2 linked regions of the Neurospora crassa OR74A genome follow. The protein of the gene in region 2 binds, or shares a complex with, the protein of the main gene of each other region. Links are inferred from orthologs where the notes say so. Each region holds a gene or a part of one and is shown on either strand. Other genes may lie near its edges.

What was found.
Region 1: NCU00570 (region 2) and NCU00419 share a complex: the UniProt entries of both Saccharomyces cerevisiae proteins name them as parts of the RNA polymerase III (Pol III) complex. The link is inferred for Neurospora crassa OR74A from reciprocal best matches to the Saccharomyces cerevisiae genes RPC11 and RPC19.

The regions. Positions count from the first base shown.
Region 1 is NC_026503.1:3,780,506-3,787,782, reverse strand, and holds NCU00419 (DNA-directed RNA polymerase I and III polypeptide), read left to right. Parts: upstream 1-3,524; 5' UTR 3,525-3,738; coding exon 3,739-3,909; intron 3,910-3,967; coding exon 3,968-4,059; intron 4,060-4,130; coding exon 4,131-4,207; intron 4,208-4,278; coding exon 4,279-4,409; 3' UTR 4,410-4,532; exon of another isoform or gene 4,533-4,665; coding exon of another isoform or gene 4,666-4,677; 3' UTR 4,678-4,761; downstream 4,762-7,277. Other genes in the region: nuo14.8 (NADH:ubiquinone oxidoreductase 14.8kD subunit), read right to left, coding at 4,666-4,677, 4,762-4,872, 5,107-5,253, 5,389-5,450, 5,504-5,627; NCU00417 (cell cycle control protein cwf14), read left to right, coding at 6,000-6,446; NCU00416 (C2H2 type zinc finger domain-containing protein), read right to left, coding at 6,876-7,277. UniProt on the Saccharomyces cerevisiae protein: DNA-dependent RNA polymerases catalyze the transcription of DNA into RNA using the four ribonucleoside triphosphates as substrates.
Region 2 is NC_026501.1:7,970,218-7,977,169, reverse strand, and holds NCU00570 (DNA-directed RNA polymerase III polypeptide), read right to left. Parts: upstream 5,760-6,952; 5' UTR 5,521-5,759; coding exon 5,508-5,520; intron 5,452-5,507; coding exon 5,165-5,451; exon of another isoform or gene 5,109-5,164; coding exon 5,070-5,108; 3' UTR 4,889-5,069; downstream 1-4,888. Other genes in the region: NCU00568 (hypothetical protein), read right to left, coding at 2,036-2,807, 2,869-3,791; NCU00569 (SOH1 family protein), read left to right, coding at 4,410-4,526, 4,581-4,868; NCU00571 (hypothetical protein), read left to right, coding at 6,501-6,527, 6,675-6,952. UniProt on the Saccharomyces cerevisiae protein: DNA-dependent RNA polymerase catalyzes the transcription of DNA into RNA using the four ribonucleoside triphosphates as substrates. Component of RNA polymerase III which synthesizes small RNAs, such as 5S rRNA and tRNAs.

The sequences.
Region 1 (7,277 bases), on a different chromosome or scaffold from region 2:
GACGTTGCTATAGCGAGGTTCGGATCACGAAAACATTGCTTGTTCAGTTTTTGTTGGTCTTTCTCACGGATACGGAGACGTTTCGTTCACTATTACCCACCATCCATATAAAACCCCCATTCGGCTGTCGGCTGTTCGAAAACTTCCCGCTTTCAGGGTTTAATTACCAATTCGTGTTGGCTTCAATATTTGATGCCCTCTGATATCACCAGGCATCATCTAATAAGCGTTGCATGCTGATATTTCCGACGAGCATTCCAGCCAAGACTTATCCCTTTTCAACACCGCACTCGAAGCAGAGATAGCACACAACGGTAACGTGGATTCGTGCAGACCTCCAAAAAGGGTATGATGAAACTGGTAGCATTACATGCTTGAGCCTCATTATACTTGATTACTGAACCATGCCGTTAACTTGCTGGGTCTTCTGGGTTTGGGGAATATATGCAAGCATGTTCGAAGACTGCAACTTGAATGGGATGCCCCTGTTTCGTGAATGGATAAAATCCCGAGAAAGACAATGATTTCGTTCTTGCGGTAGATGGAATACACCGTAGCTATTCCATCCAAGGACAACTCATGTTACTTCCAGGTGAAGGACGGAGACGGTACAGAATATGAAGAGAGGAGAAACAACGTTACTTCACAACGAGGTCCACAAACTGAACGTAGATCTGCCAACAGCCTCTCAAGACCAGCAGCCGACGTGGTGGACAACTTGACTACGCGCTCAGAAATAGGACACATTTACCAATGAACCCCTACCCACAATGTCTGTCCACTCCCGGCTTGCCGCATTATCTTGAGCCAGACGGGACTACACTACAATACAATGCTGGTTCCTTTTTATTTGTTTGGTGGCTGGTTCTTCGGTCATAGGTTTAACGGATAAGTTTTAGATTTCTTATTAGTCTTCATGAGAAATTCCATCATCCATTTAAAGTAGGTAACATAGGACAAGTGGCAAAGAGTTTGGAATGCCACAGAATCCTCTGATATATGTCTCCTTATATCGCTCTCCATCTCCTTCAAGGCCTTCAAGACCGGAGAATATCAGTCTCAAACCGTTACGCGATATAAACCCGCACGCTTCTTCTAGATCTATCAAAGCTTTGGCTCCTTTGTACCAGACTGGAGAACAAACCAGGGCTAGGTTGTACACCATAGAGGTAACCAGCCCCTACCTAGCCCGTGATCTCTTCGTATCTGCGGCTCGGCGAGCCGCGGAATTACCTGTTCACTGTTCCCCCAGGAACAAACGGGTCCTCACCTCTACATGATGATTTTGGCCCTGGCTAGGGTAGTGAGAGAACGGTGAACTGATGACGTGCTCATAAGGTAGACGGATCACGGCTATTTGCCGGGCTGGTATGGTGGAAGTTGTGATAAGCCGGCTGGACTGACTACGTATCTGGCAGTCGCCTTTTTTTCTCTCTTTTTTTTTTTTCCATGAGGTTTGGCTTCCATCATTTTAACCATCTAGTCAACGGAAACAACACACTTGTTCTTCTTAATTGATGAACTTTGGTTGGATGTTGTGGCAAGGTGGAGATGATGGGTAATGATGATCATATCGATTATACCCAAGGTCTGCCGGCGATGAGTGACTTGAAGAAACACCCCTATTTCTGAATTTTGTGTAACGGCTGCCAAAGTGGGAATCGGTCGATGTCTGCGGCTTAGAGGTTGAAGTACATTGCCGAGTTGTGAGGGCACTGAAATACATTCAACAGGATCAATAGCTCGGGTCATGATGTTCTTTCGTTGCAGCTTCTAATGTTCGCAACGATTGAAAATACATGAGAGGTTGAGATGTTATTGTGGAAAACAAACTTGGGTTCTACCAATCCGATGATACTATAACTACCTCTACGCCACTCCATTGGCTTTGATGCATTTCAGAGTCCGAGTAGACTGTTCCTAACGTTGTGACATCTTGTCTCCTGCTCCTCAACATACGAACTGTTCATCGAGCCACAAAACTCAAGTATATTGTCGACAGAGAGAGCAATATTGCTCACCCATTGTATTCAAAATGATGAAATAGTAGGATGAGGATCAGCTTCTGAATTAAATTCGATCTGTAACAAAAACGAGACGGAACCAAGGAATCAACAAAAGTCATACTAGGTATGCTTGCCGTTTGCTTTCCAAGCAGTTCACAGTTCCTCCATACCTGCAATCACTTTCTAGTAGTATAACTGTAGTATAAGTCCTGAAACGGTAGCTAAGCCATATTTGTCGAGGCCCCCGTTTTTGTTCTCAAGACATACCTAGGTAGCCATCCCACCAGGCAGTCGTCACTTCACACTACCAAAGTATCAACGCACTGAAGATGAACAGTTAAAATGCATGTAAGGAAATGGGAGTAGGCGTTTCATGTCCCAGCGAGTACCTCCCACCTCACATGGCCAGCTACAGTGCCTACCAACTATCGGAACCGCCGCATCTCGGGCAATAATTAATGCATACCTAAACTTGGTCCAAAGACAAGTAATTAGGCAAGAAATAGAAGAATACAGACAACGCTTCTACGTCATTTGAACCTTTAACAACAGTATAGAAGGTCAAGTACCTGAAACTGAAACATTGTCCTGGGGAAGACCATAAGCCCGATACTGCTCGGACCGACGACACGTTGTGGAAACGCTCGGATTGCTGTATACCAGACGATATACTTGACGTGTACCAGAGATCCAAGTCGAGAATGGTGTGCATGGTGTCACTTTTTGGACAATGGCCTCCGATTCCACCTCTTAGTGTACCGCGAGCGTCACTCTCTGTACTTGTTTTCCTTTTCCATCTTTCTTGATCCTTGTTGAAATGCTTTCCCTTACTCCCTAACATTCAAAACAATATTTCATAGCTCCGCCAGCTTGGAGTTATCTGGTTCTCATTCTCTGACGACCGGAGACGGATAACGACCTTGTGTGAAGTCTATCCTTGTCTCAAGTCAAGATTTCGAATTGCGGAGCGTATCAAATGCCATAGAGACCGTAAAGTTTGTGATGACTCTAAAACCCTTCCAGTACAATGTAGCTACCACTGAGTCATTTTGAAGAGGGAATGGTGATGATTTGAGTAGTACAGAGTCCAGGAACCTCGGGTTCTGGAGTTGGGGGTTCATCGTCAACGTGATCGAGGGTGTTCTTGCCTGAGAGTTTCGCAATCCCAAGATATTGGTCACGGAATGATTGCTATACGTGAACACCAAAAGAGCTTATTCAAATTCCGGGAACACTGGCCGATTAAATAGTGAACCGAATGTGAAGTCAAGTATTTGGAGTCTTGAGTCCGGGAAGTGAATGTTGAACCCGAGTGACCTCAAGTCCCCAGCGTGGAGTTGCGAAGTCCAAAGGCTCATCTCAGCTTGGTGGAGTATCCTCAGCAATGGAACGCGGGAGCAGGCCAATGCCCGTCAGCAGGTGGGGTCGGTAGCTGCTCGCCTAACTTTCAGCCGCCTCCATCTTCTTGCTGGGGGGCGAAACCCTGCATTTCCCAAATTCTTGGCGACGGATAAACTCTTTCTTTCCACGCTAAAAATTTCTCCGATAACAGAGGCAATAGAGGCTCAGTCAGGTTGTTGTTCACCACTCGCGTGCCGCCGACTGTTGAATTCAACCCATCCGTGTGTTCCTGGAAGGATTTACACAATCGAATAACAACAACTTTACGCAAAGATCCAAACCATCTTTCAGTTACCGGTAACTCACGTTACCAACAACCATTACAGTCAAAATGGGCAAGATCACCAAGTTCGGCGACGAGGGCGAGGAGGTTACCATGAAGGAGACCCCGACTTCTCACCAGCCGGAGGCTCAGGATGATGTCTCTATGGCCGATGCGGGCGAGGAAGGAGAGGAGGGAGATGAGGAGTATGAGGAGGGAGAGGGTACTAAAGTTAGACTTGTACGTGAAACCCTCCATGACGAATATATGTCGACTCGAGACTAACACCTGAGCACAGCTTCCTGGTTCTACGCCCACGGCCGCTTCTTTCGAGTTCCTTGATGAGAACCATACCCTTGGTAACGCGCTCAGATACGTCATCATGAAGAAGTGAGTACCGGGAGCTTCACTTGTCTCATGTTAATGAGCTGAGCTGTGACTGTGCTAACACCATTTCATAGCCCTGATGTCGAATTCTGCGCCTACGCCATTCCTCATCCCTCCGAAGCCAAAATGAACGTTAGAATTCAGACCTATGGTGCGTCATCTTTCTCGTCCACTTCTTAGCGAGACCTGTGAATACAGAGGTGAACTAACAGTAACATGCAGAGGGCACAACTGCTGTCGAGGCACTCCGCAAGGGTCTGCGTGACATTCAAGATCTTTGCGACGTCGTTTCGGATAAGTTCCTTGAGGCGCGCAAGGACTTTACTGATAAGAAGGCCGCTGCGTCTGCCTAAGCCTCTTGTTTCTCACCTTTCTTTTCATCGTTAATTTTCACCAGCATGGGTAACGGCGTTTTGGGGCTTGAATTGGTAGTAAATCACAAGGGGGAACAAAAAATAGACAAAGGAAAACTCGCTGTGAGTGGCCATCAAGATAAGGGGGGAAGATAAAAGAACAAGCGGCTGCGTCCATGGATGTTCATCTGGCTTGCGTTATATACATAGGCTCTAGAGGAAAGGCTGACATTGATACCCTTCGTTATTACTCTTCTTAGTTGCGACCCTAGATGAAAGAAGAGTATTGTGAGCTACCCGCACAATGAAGTGGCCATCATCAAAGACAAAAGAGCTGCATGTATAGGCTTACCTGCAGGAAGCCATCGATAAAGCTGGAGGGAAGTCTCTTGGCTCCACGGAAGCTCTCCTCGTTGAAGTACGACATCATGTGAGTCGTCTGGCGCCAAAAGTTCATGGTTTCCTGATAGACGCGTGGAGAGTCAGCGTCAAGTTACCAGAACAATCAGTCCGAATCGCCGCGACGCATAACATGCGCCAGCGCTCTGATATTCCCTTCTGACCCCTTGCCTGGAACCCTTTCCCTCTTCTTTTTGGGTGTTCTCCAGATTTTGGACATGACCCCACTGCTGTGCCCGTTTCTGGGGATCCCCTGATTCATGTCCGTGTGGATAGTGACGATGAAGTGGAGCCTTACTTGATAGTCGGCATGGCCCTTTGTGAGCAGAACATCCACCACGGGCAACTTGTTAACGAAGCGGTTGCGCTCGAATTCCTGCCTGATGCGAGTGCGAATGACCGAAATGGGGAGGGGTAGTGAGTACATAGACTGCATCTCGGGTGTCTGTTGTATGTGATATCCTGGTTAGCGAATCCTCGGTCGGGATTGTTCGCACTCCTCCCATTATATACGTCGATATCCAACGTGTTCGTCGAAAGCTGGAAATGCTCGTTCTATGTAGGTTCGCTCGTAACGTACCGAACGAAGCCATCGCCGATAAAGGGCGAACACCCTCCGCTTGGCGTCGCTCCAGTTTGCCGCTACAATGTCCGTCAGAGTTACTCGTTCAGCTTGTACAACTGGGGTCACTTACACTGCCTGGTGGTGATGGCGTACTTGGTAGGTGTGATGGGCATTTTGGGCCAATTCGTGACTTGAGGACCTTTGGAGGTTGTCGCCGTTCCGTTCGCCAGGGTCGGTCGATTCGTCGTTCGCATGACAGCTTGTAGCTTCAGCAGTCGGCTCGGGGTCGGTAGCATCCAGCTAAGCCACAGTTGCTCTTACACACAGAGTGCGGGCGCTGATAGCACTAGCCACAACTACAAGAGGCCAATGACGTTGGCGCCACAATTCCAAGGCGTTTCTGGCAGGCAATTTTGAGCCAGTTCACTGCACTTACGCCGGGGATCACAGCACTCTCCTCTGGTCAGCTCATTAGATTTGAAGTTCTCCATCCTTCAACCGAACAATTGCGATATCACCACACACTCCGATACTCTTCCGAGTATATACGTTAGCGCAACGCAAAACACGTTACTTAAAGCACCGCTTACTAAATCCCGAGGCCGAGGACCAGCGACGACCTCAAAATGCCAGCCATTCGCCCCGCCTCGAAGCGCAAGCCGCCCCCAGAGGGTTTTGCCGACATTGAGGAGGATCTGCTCATCTTCGCCAACAAGATGAAGGACGCACAGAACGCCCCGACGGACAACATACCCAAGCACCAGGCCAAATGGCCTATCTTCCAGATCTCGCACCAGCGGAGCCGGTACATCTATGAGCTCTACTACGAAAAAGAGGCCATCAGCAAGCAGCTGTACGAGTGGCTGCTCAAGAATGGATACGCGGACGCGATGCTGATCGCCAAGTGGAAGAAGAACGGCTACGAGAAGCTCTGCTGCCTGCGCTGCATACAGACCAAGGAGACCAACTTCAACTCGACGTGCATCTGCCGCGTGCCCAAGGCCGAGCTGAAGGAGGGCCAGGATGTGCAGTGCGTGAGCTGTGGGTGCAGAGGGTGTGCTACTGGTGATTGAAGAGGAGGAGGCACGGATTTGAGGTTATAAAATTGAAAAGGGACGGCAGGGACAAGCAACTTTTTTCAAGGCTGAGATGTGGTGGAGAAACAATGAGAAGCCAGGGGCCGACGAACGGCTGTTCAGCGCCGCGATAATGATACCAACAACATCTCTTTGTCGAGCACGCATCGGGAGAGGGAAGAGGCGTTCACGGGGAGAGGGTAAGATAAGATGCTTTCTCCTTTGCAGAGCTATGTTTGACGCTTACTGTTGAGGGAGCAGATTGAACAAACATACGAACACGTTATGTCATGATATCATGGAATGTGAGGACCGTATCAGTATGTTCTCGCTACAGATGTGCAATAATATGTTTCAGCTGCCCAGTACTAATGGAATTGGTTTGCCCAAGCCTTACCACATCTCGTTTTTGCACTTCCTCTGTTGTCACCTTTTGGCGAATCCAGTCTTTCCTCCACGACCACGACCAAATCTGACACTGGAGGGTACGAACTGCAGTGCAGACATCTTGCCTACCAAGTCTCCCATATCCACGTCAGCCGGCTCCTCAACGGCCTCCTCGTGCGGTTGGTCTGTCATCTCAGCATCGGGTTTCGTCGATGTTGGAGTGGGCTCGGGCCGATCTACTTCCATCCGCTCCTTCATTTCTGATGGAGGCTTTGACTTGGAGTTGACCTTTGGGTCGGAAGAGCTGGCATGTGTTTCCGCTGCCGATGGCTTGTGGACCCGTTTCTGTTTCGGCCGCCGTTCATCCAACAACATCGACTGCCGCCCGTCAATACCGTGCAGTGTCACCGCGAAGAAGAAATTCTTTGGGTACATGTGCTT
Region 2 (6,952 bases):
CCCTCAGCGGTATTCTCGACCTTTGTGATCGAGTTCTGATCTCAAACACCAGTCGTACGAAGTCATATGTACAATCTTGCAAGGAAAAAACCAGACGTCTCCAGCCGTCAAACGGTTTCGTTTGTATGACAATTATATGGGGTAGTACTGAAGAAAGAAGCTGAGAAAAAGACTACATATTTCGGATCCGGCTTCCAGCCTCCACGTCTGACATATTTGACCAAACAAAAGTACCATTAAAACGAGCGGAAAATGGTAATTGTAATGGTATCAACGGCTTGTCACTGGACTAATGATTGGCCTAAAATATATATAAGGAAGGGGGAACCCCAGAGTGAAGTAAGAACTTTAATACATCACTCATCAAGATCTCTCCAAATATACTACGTTTTCATACGTACTGCATACCGTTCTATTTGCCTTTTAAAGCACTACGTACCTAGGTAACAGTGTCCTCTGACGCCTACCCAGCTACCTGTTCTTTGATCTCTTAAGGGAGGGTAAATTTGATCTTATAATTCATCTGTAAACACTACCATCATCGCCCCCATGTGATCTAGGAAGGAAATGTGGGAGGGCCTGAGAGGTGACGGCGTTATAGTCTTTGTGTGGGGCACAACGGATTCTCATTCACAGTTCGTCAGAATAGACACTTAATGCAGCTGGCGAGAACATGTTTTTGAACTTGATCCACAGAAAGACATCCAGCTGTTTTTGTTCCATGGCTAGTACCCATTTCTCATTCCTTCGACGCACATCCCACTTTCCTCCAAGAGAAGGAGTCAAAGGTAGAGGACCAAAAAGAGAAGGAACAAAAAAAGACAAAGACATACAACACCAGGTTATTCGCCGGTCGTCACCGATCCGACTACTAGTCTGGCGGTCACTGGCTTATCAATGGGAGATCAGACGGGATCCCGAGTTCTCCAAGTGCCTATGGTCGTATGTGTAAATGCTGTTGTTGCTGTTGCTGGAGAGTGGGTGTTTGAACTCCGTTCGTTCCTTATGTAGAGAGATACAAGATCTGGTAGGATGGTGTCTGGTGTTGATCAGGTCAGAGGGGGATAAACAGCAGACAGCAAGTATGATATCCTTTGGAGTTGTACATAAGGAATCGGTAGGTACGGACAGTCATTTAGCTTATGGACACAACGCCGTTACAGTTTACAAATATACCACTATCATCAATTCCCGTCTCTCACATGGAGAATTCTTAAAATACCCATCCAAAAGGATCTTTTCCTATAGGTGCAACACTGACTGACAGTAAGGATAACCACTACAGCAAACATTAACATTCCATCCCGTCCCATCAGGCCCCCGTACTTAGAAGTACCTACTTATGAACCTCCCGCTCCTTCCCAAGTTGATCCTCTAACAAACGAACATATAAGCTCCTTAGGTAATCAGCAACTACGATTGCCGCCACCGCTGGGTCAGCTAGCGCAACGGTCTACCGTTGTAAAAACTCAAACCTCCCTGGCCCCAAAATACTCACTCACCTGTTGGTTCGGGAACAATGATGTACATTCAAGTAACTCAAAAAGGCTCCACATCGTCAGGCCGCGTCCACTTGAAAGTTAATGACAAGTACAGAGAATAGATGGCAGGGACAGCGTTGAGCCGGTTAACAAATGTGTGCTGCTTAAGTGCGCGGTTGTTGGGCTTTCTTTTTAGGGTATAATTTCATATCCTCATCGAAGCTGAGGGAGCAGATGGGAAAAGAAGACAGAGGTCGCGGGGTTCAAATGGTGACATGGTCTTTTTTTTTTTTTTTTTTTTTTTTCTTCTTTTTCTTCTTGTTTTTGTCAATGTATATGTTTCAGTGAGTCCAGTTTTGAGACGCAGCATGAACGCCCGGCGAGTGTCCAAGTGTGGCAGGGTCATTGTGTCTTTTTCTTTTTTCCCGGATATATTATGATGACGCTGAGTGGCATGCACTTCTACCTTCTATGTATTCTTCGAACCCAAACTCCATACGCTCTCTATCCCAATAGCATCATGCCCGATTCAAAGACCTGGCTACCTTAAATGACTAATCCGTCTTTGGAGGCTTGGGCCTGGGAGCCTTGATAGAGAATAGCACGACATCGTACTCCTGGGATGTCTCCTCTTCCTCCTTCTCTGCCTCCTTCTGACCCTTATCACCATCCTTCGCCTCTTTATTATCCTTGTCTCTCGCTGGCTTCCTGACCTCATCTCCATCGGCGTCCAACGTAACAACGACGTCCTTTGTGTCCAAACTCCCGTCCTCGGTATAGCCCCACACATCCTTGAGTTCCCTGCGAATCAGACCGGTCAGCCAGACGGACCCGGTAACGCAAGGGACCAGGTACAACAGCGCGGGCTGTCCGTGGTTGAACACCTGGAGCATCGTCAAGGTGAAAACCATGCCCAAGGCATAACCTGCTACCGAAGCGTAAAAGTAGGGCTTGGGAAAAGCAGTTGCAGCTCCGACCGCGCCACATGCTGGGTTTGGCATCAGGTTGCCCAGCTTGGTGGTCCAGAAGCGGTTGCCCCATTGACCTTCTGATTCCACGAATGGTGCTTTGGTTCGTCGGAACTGCATTTCGTTCGTAGAACTAGCTGCTTGATCCGTAGATGAGGCCTGCTTGGAAGACGCATCAACTGGCTGATATTGGATTTGTCTCTTGTAAAACATGTACAAGTCGAAGCGAAGGGCGAGTGCCATGACCAAGCCAGGAACAACAATGTCTCCGAGTCCCAGCATGCTGAAGCCGGACGAACTCTTGAATACCAGCTTGATTGGGGCGTCAACCTTTTTAGCAACGGTGATCATGAACGGACTGTAGAAAATGGATTAGTAACTGGATAGCTGTCCTGGCTGAAAGATGGGTGGAAACATACGTGTAAAACACCATGACGATGTCATAGAAGAAGAGACCCCAAAGAACAGCGGTACCTATACCGAAAGACGTGGGCGAGAGCATGCCAAAAGCAGCGTAGCACATGGCAGCCCCAAGAATGTTGGAAAGGACATGCCACTGAACAAGGTGATATGCAGTAGTTATCGCGATTGAGACCAAGAATCCAAGTAGATGGTTGAACTTGATCTGCGACTTGAAAGAGCCGACGCCATGGGCAGCAAGGCGGACTGTCCACTTCTCCGTAAAGAGGTGCCGAATCTCCCAGGCAAGTCTGTTGATTCCAGGAGGCAGGCGAACCATGGAAAACACACCGGGGAAAGGCGACTTCTTGTCGGTGATCATGGCCTGGTTCGTCGTTGGGTCAACTAGTACCTGAGAGCGGCGTTTCGGATCGACGTAGTAGAGTCTGTTGCTGCGATCTGACCATACACTTGGGAAAATCAAGCTGGTGAGAATCTCTAAGGCGTCCCCGGACAGCTTGCCGAGGCCGGCAATGCCAGCGAAAGACATGTAACCTCGCAGTATCTTGTTCAACAGGTTGGGATCCTTAAGCCACTCTAGCAGATAGTAGAGCCCAATGAGAACTGCGCCGGCCAGAATGGGAAACATGATGGCATCAGAGGCAGTCAGTCCTTCCGTGAACTGCTCGTCTTCCTTTGACTTCTTCTTCTTCTCGTCCTTGTCTTCGGACTCTGGTGGGGCAGCGGAGGGAGGTCGGCGGAGGGAGCCATGAGCACCAAGCCATATTACAGCCAAGGCGCCGAAGATAACCTGAGCATCAAACCAAAGAACTTCTGGCCTAAGGAGCATCTCCCAATGAAAAGTGTATGGTGTGGCATCTGGAACCGGAGATGGAAGGATAGTACCTGTCGCGTTGACGGCCGAAGCTTCAGGAGAAGCCATGGTGATATCCTAGTCAACTCGCGATACTCATGCGTTTCTATTTGCCGTAATCTGTCGTTATGAATGAGATATGAACACCGAGTATCGAATGCTTTTTGTAGCAGTGAGAAAGATGAGATAATTCCGTCAACGTGGATAATGCCGTCAACGTGGGATGTTGGGTTGGTGTTGAGATAAAGCTGCGTGTCCAACCTGCCCTGGAAGGGAACAACGGAAGCGGCCTTGGGTTCCACAATTAGGTTCCAGGTTGTTGTCGGGTTGACTGTCACTGCAGAAGCAAGTTACAGGGCTGATCTGAGTATTTATAGCGGTTACACGCTGATTTTTCTGCAGGGACAGAGCCATCTCCGCTTGCTTGCCCCACTAATTTGCCACATCCGGGCCGCCCTCGAGGAATTGTTGGTGGAACAAAACAGTCTCGCCTTCCTTCCGGGCACTCACGGGCCGTTGAGGCTTTCGTCCAACACAAACGACCATTTAAGAGCAGCCACTGCTCACGTCTACTTGTACTGCCCATCGCATTCACTTGACAAAGAGGCGCAAACATCTAGACACGTTCCTAGGTATCCAGCTCATTCACAGATTGGAACACTGTAACAAACACTCATTTTTTACGTCATGGCATCCGATCCCATGTCAGTAAACAGTTCAGCAAGGGAGCCACCTGCGCCTCCGGGATCAGGGGCAGACGAGCCCAAGTATGGAGGATATACACGGTTCGAACTCGAACTGGAGGTAGGCTTCATACACATTATCATCCAGCGTGCGTGGTATTAACAGAACACTCAGTTTGTTCAAGCACTTGGCAACCCGCTGTACCTGAACCATCTTGCGTCCAGGAAGCTACTCAGCAATCCTGCTTTCATCGCCTACCTCGACTATCTCCAGTACTGGAGCCGCCCACCTTACCTCAAGTATATCACCTACCCTGGGCCTACCTTGAAGAACCTGGAGTTGCTGCAGCAGGAAAAGTTCAGGCAGGACATCATCAGCCCAGACCTGGTCGAGCGTCTCAGGCTAGAGGGCATGAAGGCCGGAATCGACTGGCATCGAGAGAGTTTTCCAAGCACGGCATAAGTTGCACGGGTAGAATGATGCCAGGGATGGAAACGAGTGGGAAGTAGCCTCTGGCAGGCCAGTACCGCACAAGTTGATTCTGATGAAGAATACCTCACATGCAACTACACAAAAACAAAAGAAAAACCCAACGCCAAGCAATGCCCCCAATACCATGTATTGATGATCCGACCAGACCTGTGCTGAACATGTCTTCTTCCTCTAGTTGTTGTCTCTCCACCTGTGCCCGCAAGTCATACACTACGAGACATGTTAGCTTCTTACTTTATCCCATCAGTCTGCAATCCCCTTCTTACCTTGTAGAACGTCGTCATCGGTTCATCAGCACTACGAATTTGAACCTGGAAGAAGGCTGCCTCGTTGCCATTGCAAGTTCCGCTGTCACACTGGACCTTGCCTTTTTGTGCATTGTCCCAAGCGCCTGGACCACCAAACACGTCTTCCTTCTCCTTGCGCGGGAAGTTCTTGCGGGAGTAGATGGGCTTGTCGATGGGGTGTTCGTAAGGACAGGTTCTGCACTCGAGCCTGTTGCCACCCGTGTCCGCTCGGGAGAGGATGAGGAGGTTGGCGCAGAATGGGCAAACTGTGGTGGGCGTTTAGTTCCGGTGTCCTAGCCTTTGTGGGTGGACTTGGACTTACAGACGATAGGCATGTTTGCTATTGATGAAGGGACTGGATTTGTTTGTTGTGTGTTATCGTCCGTTATGAATAGCAAGTGAGATGAGTCGAGCGGTTGCCAAAAGTCTTGTTGACGATCCTGATGAGAAGAGGCGTCGCCGTAAGCTGGTACCTTTTGTGAAAACAGCTGGCCAAGACCGGTGTTTATGTCTACCACTTGCTGGGCTTTAAGGTAGTGATATAAGTTGTTAGAGTGTAAATAGTCAGTGTAGGGGCGATGGCCTGAAAAAAAGTGTTATAGCTCGATGCGGTCCGTTAATTCTATAAACCTTAAATGTAGCGCTTGAATTTTCATTGGTCAGATCTGCATCATCAACTGTCCCACACTTGGTCAGCGGTGCCTGGACCCAACGGCCCTTTCTGTTGTGCCTGTGCTAAGGTAGGTACGTACCTACTCACTGACATGCAGCTGGGCCTCAGCGCATGCCATCTGAATGCCAGCGTCCTGATCGGGCCCCGCAAGGAGCCGACCATTCTGTAACACCAAGGGAAGACGACACTGCCACTGCCACCTCCTAACCAGCCCGTTAGGTAGAGGTACGGAATGCTTCCATCCCGTCCTTCATACAACCACCACCACCACCACGACTGGAGATATCTCATAGAATACAGTACACTGTACCCTACAAACAGTCGTTCGCCGCCCTCTTATTACCCCGAAGATCCCTCATTGAGCGTTACGCGATCCCGATCCTTTTATAGGAATCGACCGATTACCTGATTCGACAGCCTGGCCACTTCCATACCGTACATCCACTCTCCCCCGCCGACCCATTTCCACGATTCCCGCTCGTAATTAGCAATTCCAGGCCAATCTTACCTCTCTACTTTGGACAACTCTCGCCGTCATCCCTCTTCGCTTTCACCGTCGTTTTCGCTACTTGTGCTTCTTCCTACAACCAAGAAACATCACCCGCCGTTTCCGAGACAACCACAAGTGACCTACCAGTAACCATGGCCGGAAAGGACGAAGAACACGAGGTTCGTACCACACAAGCGTCCTCTACCCCCAACTAACACCCTCTCTCTTCTATCCCCCGTTTCACCCGCCCTACGCCCTCTCGCGCAAACAGCTATACTACAGACAACCCCAGCTAACCCTTCCTTCTTTCACCCCCCAAAATACAGGGTGCCTCCATCTCCGAGCAGCTCATTGAAGCTTGCCGGCGTAACAACACTGACCTCCTCTCGGAAATTCTCGCCGACAAATCCGACGAAGAAATCTCCTCCCTCTTGAACAACACGACCACCGTGATGGGCAACCACCTCTACCACGAAGCCGCGCTCCGTGGCAACTACGAGATAATCGACATGCTCCTCGACCAACCAGGCTTTGAATGCGATCCCGTCAACCGACTCGAGGGCGACACCCCGCTGCACAGCGCAGTCCGATGGATCAACAGCGA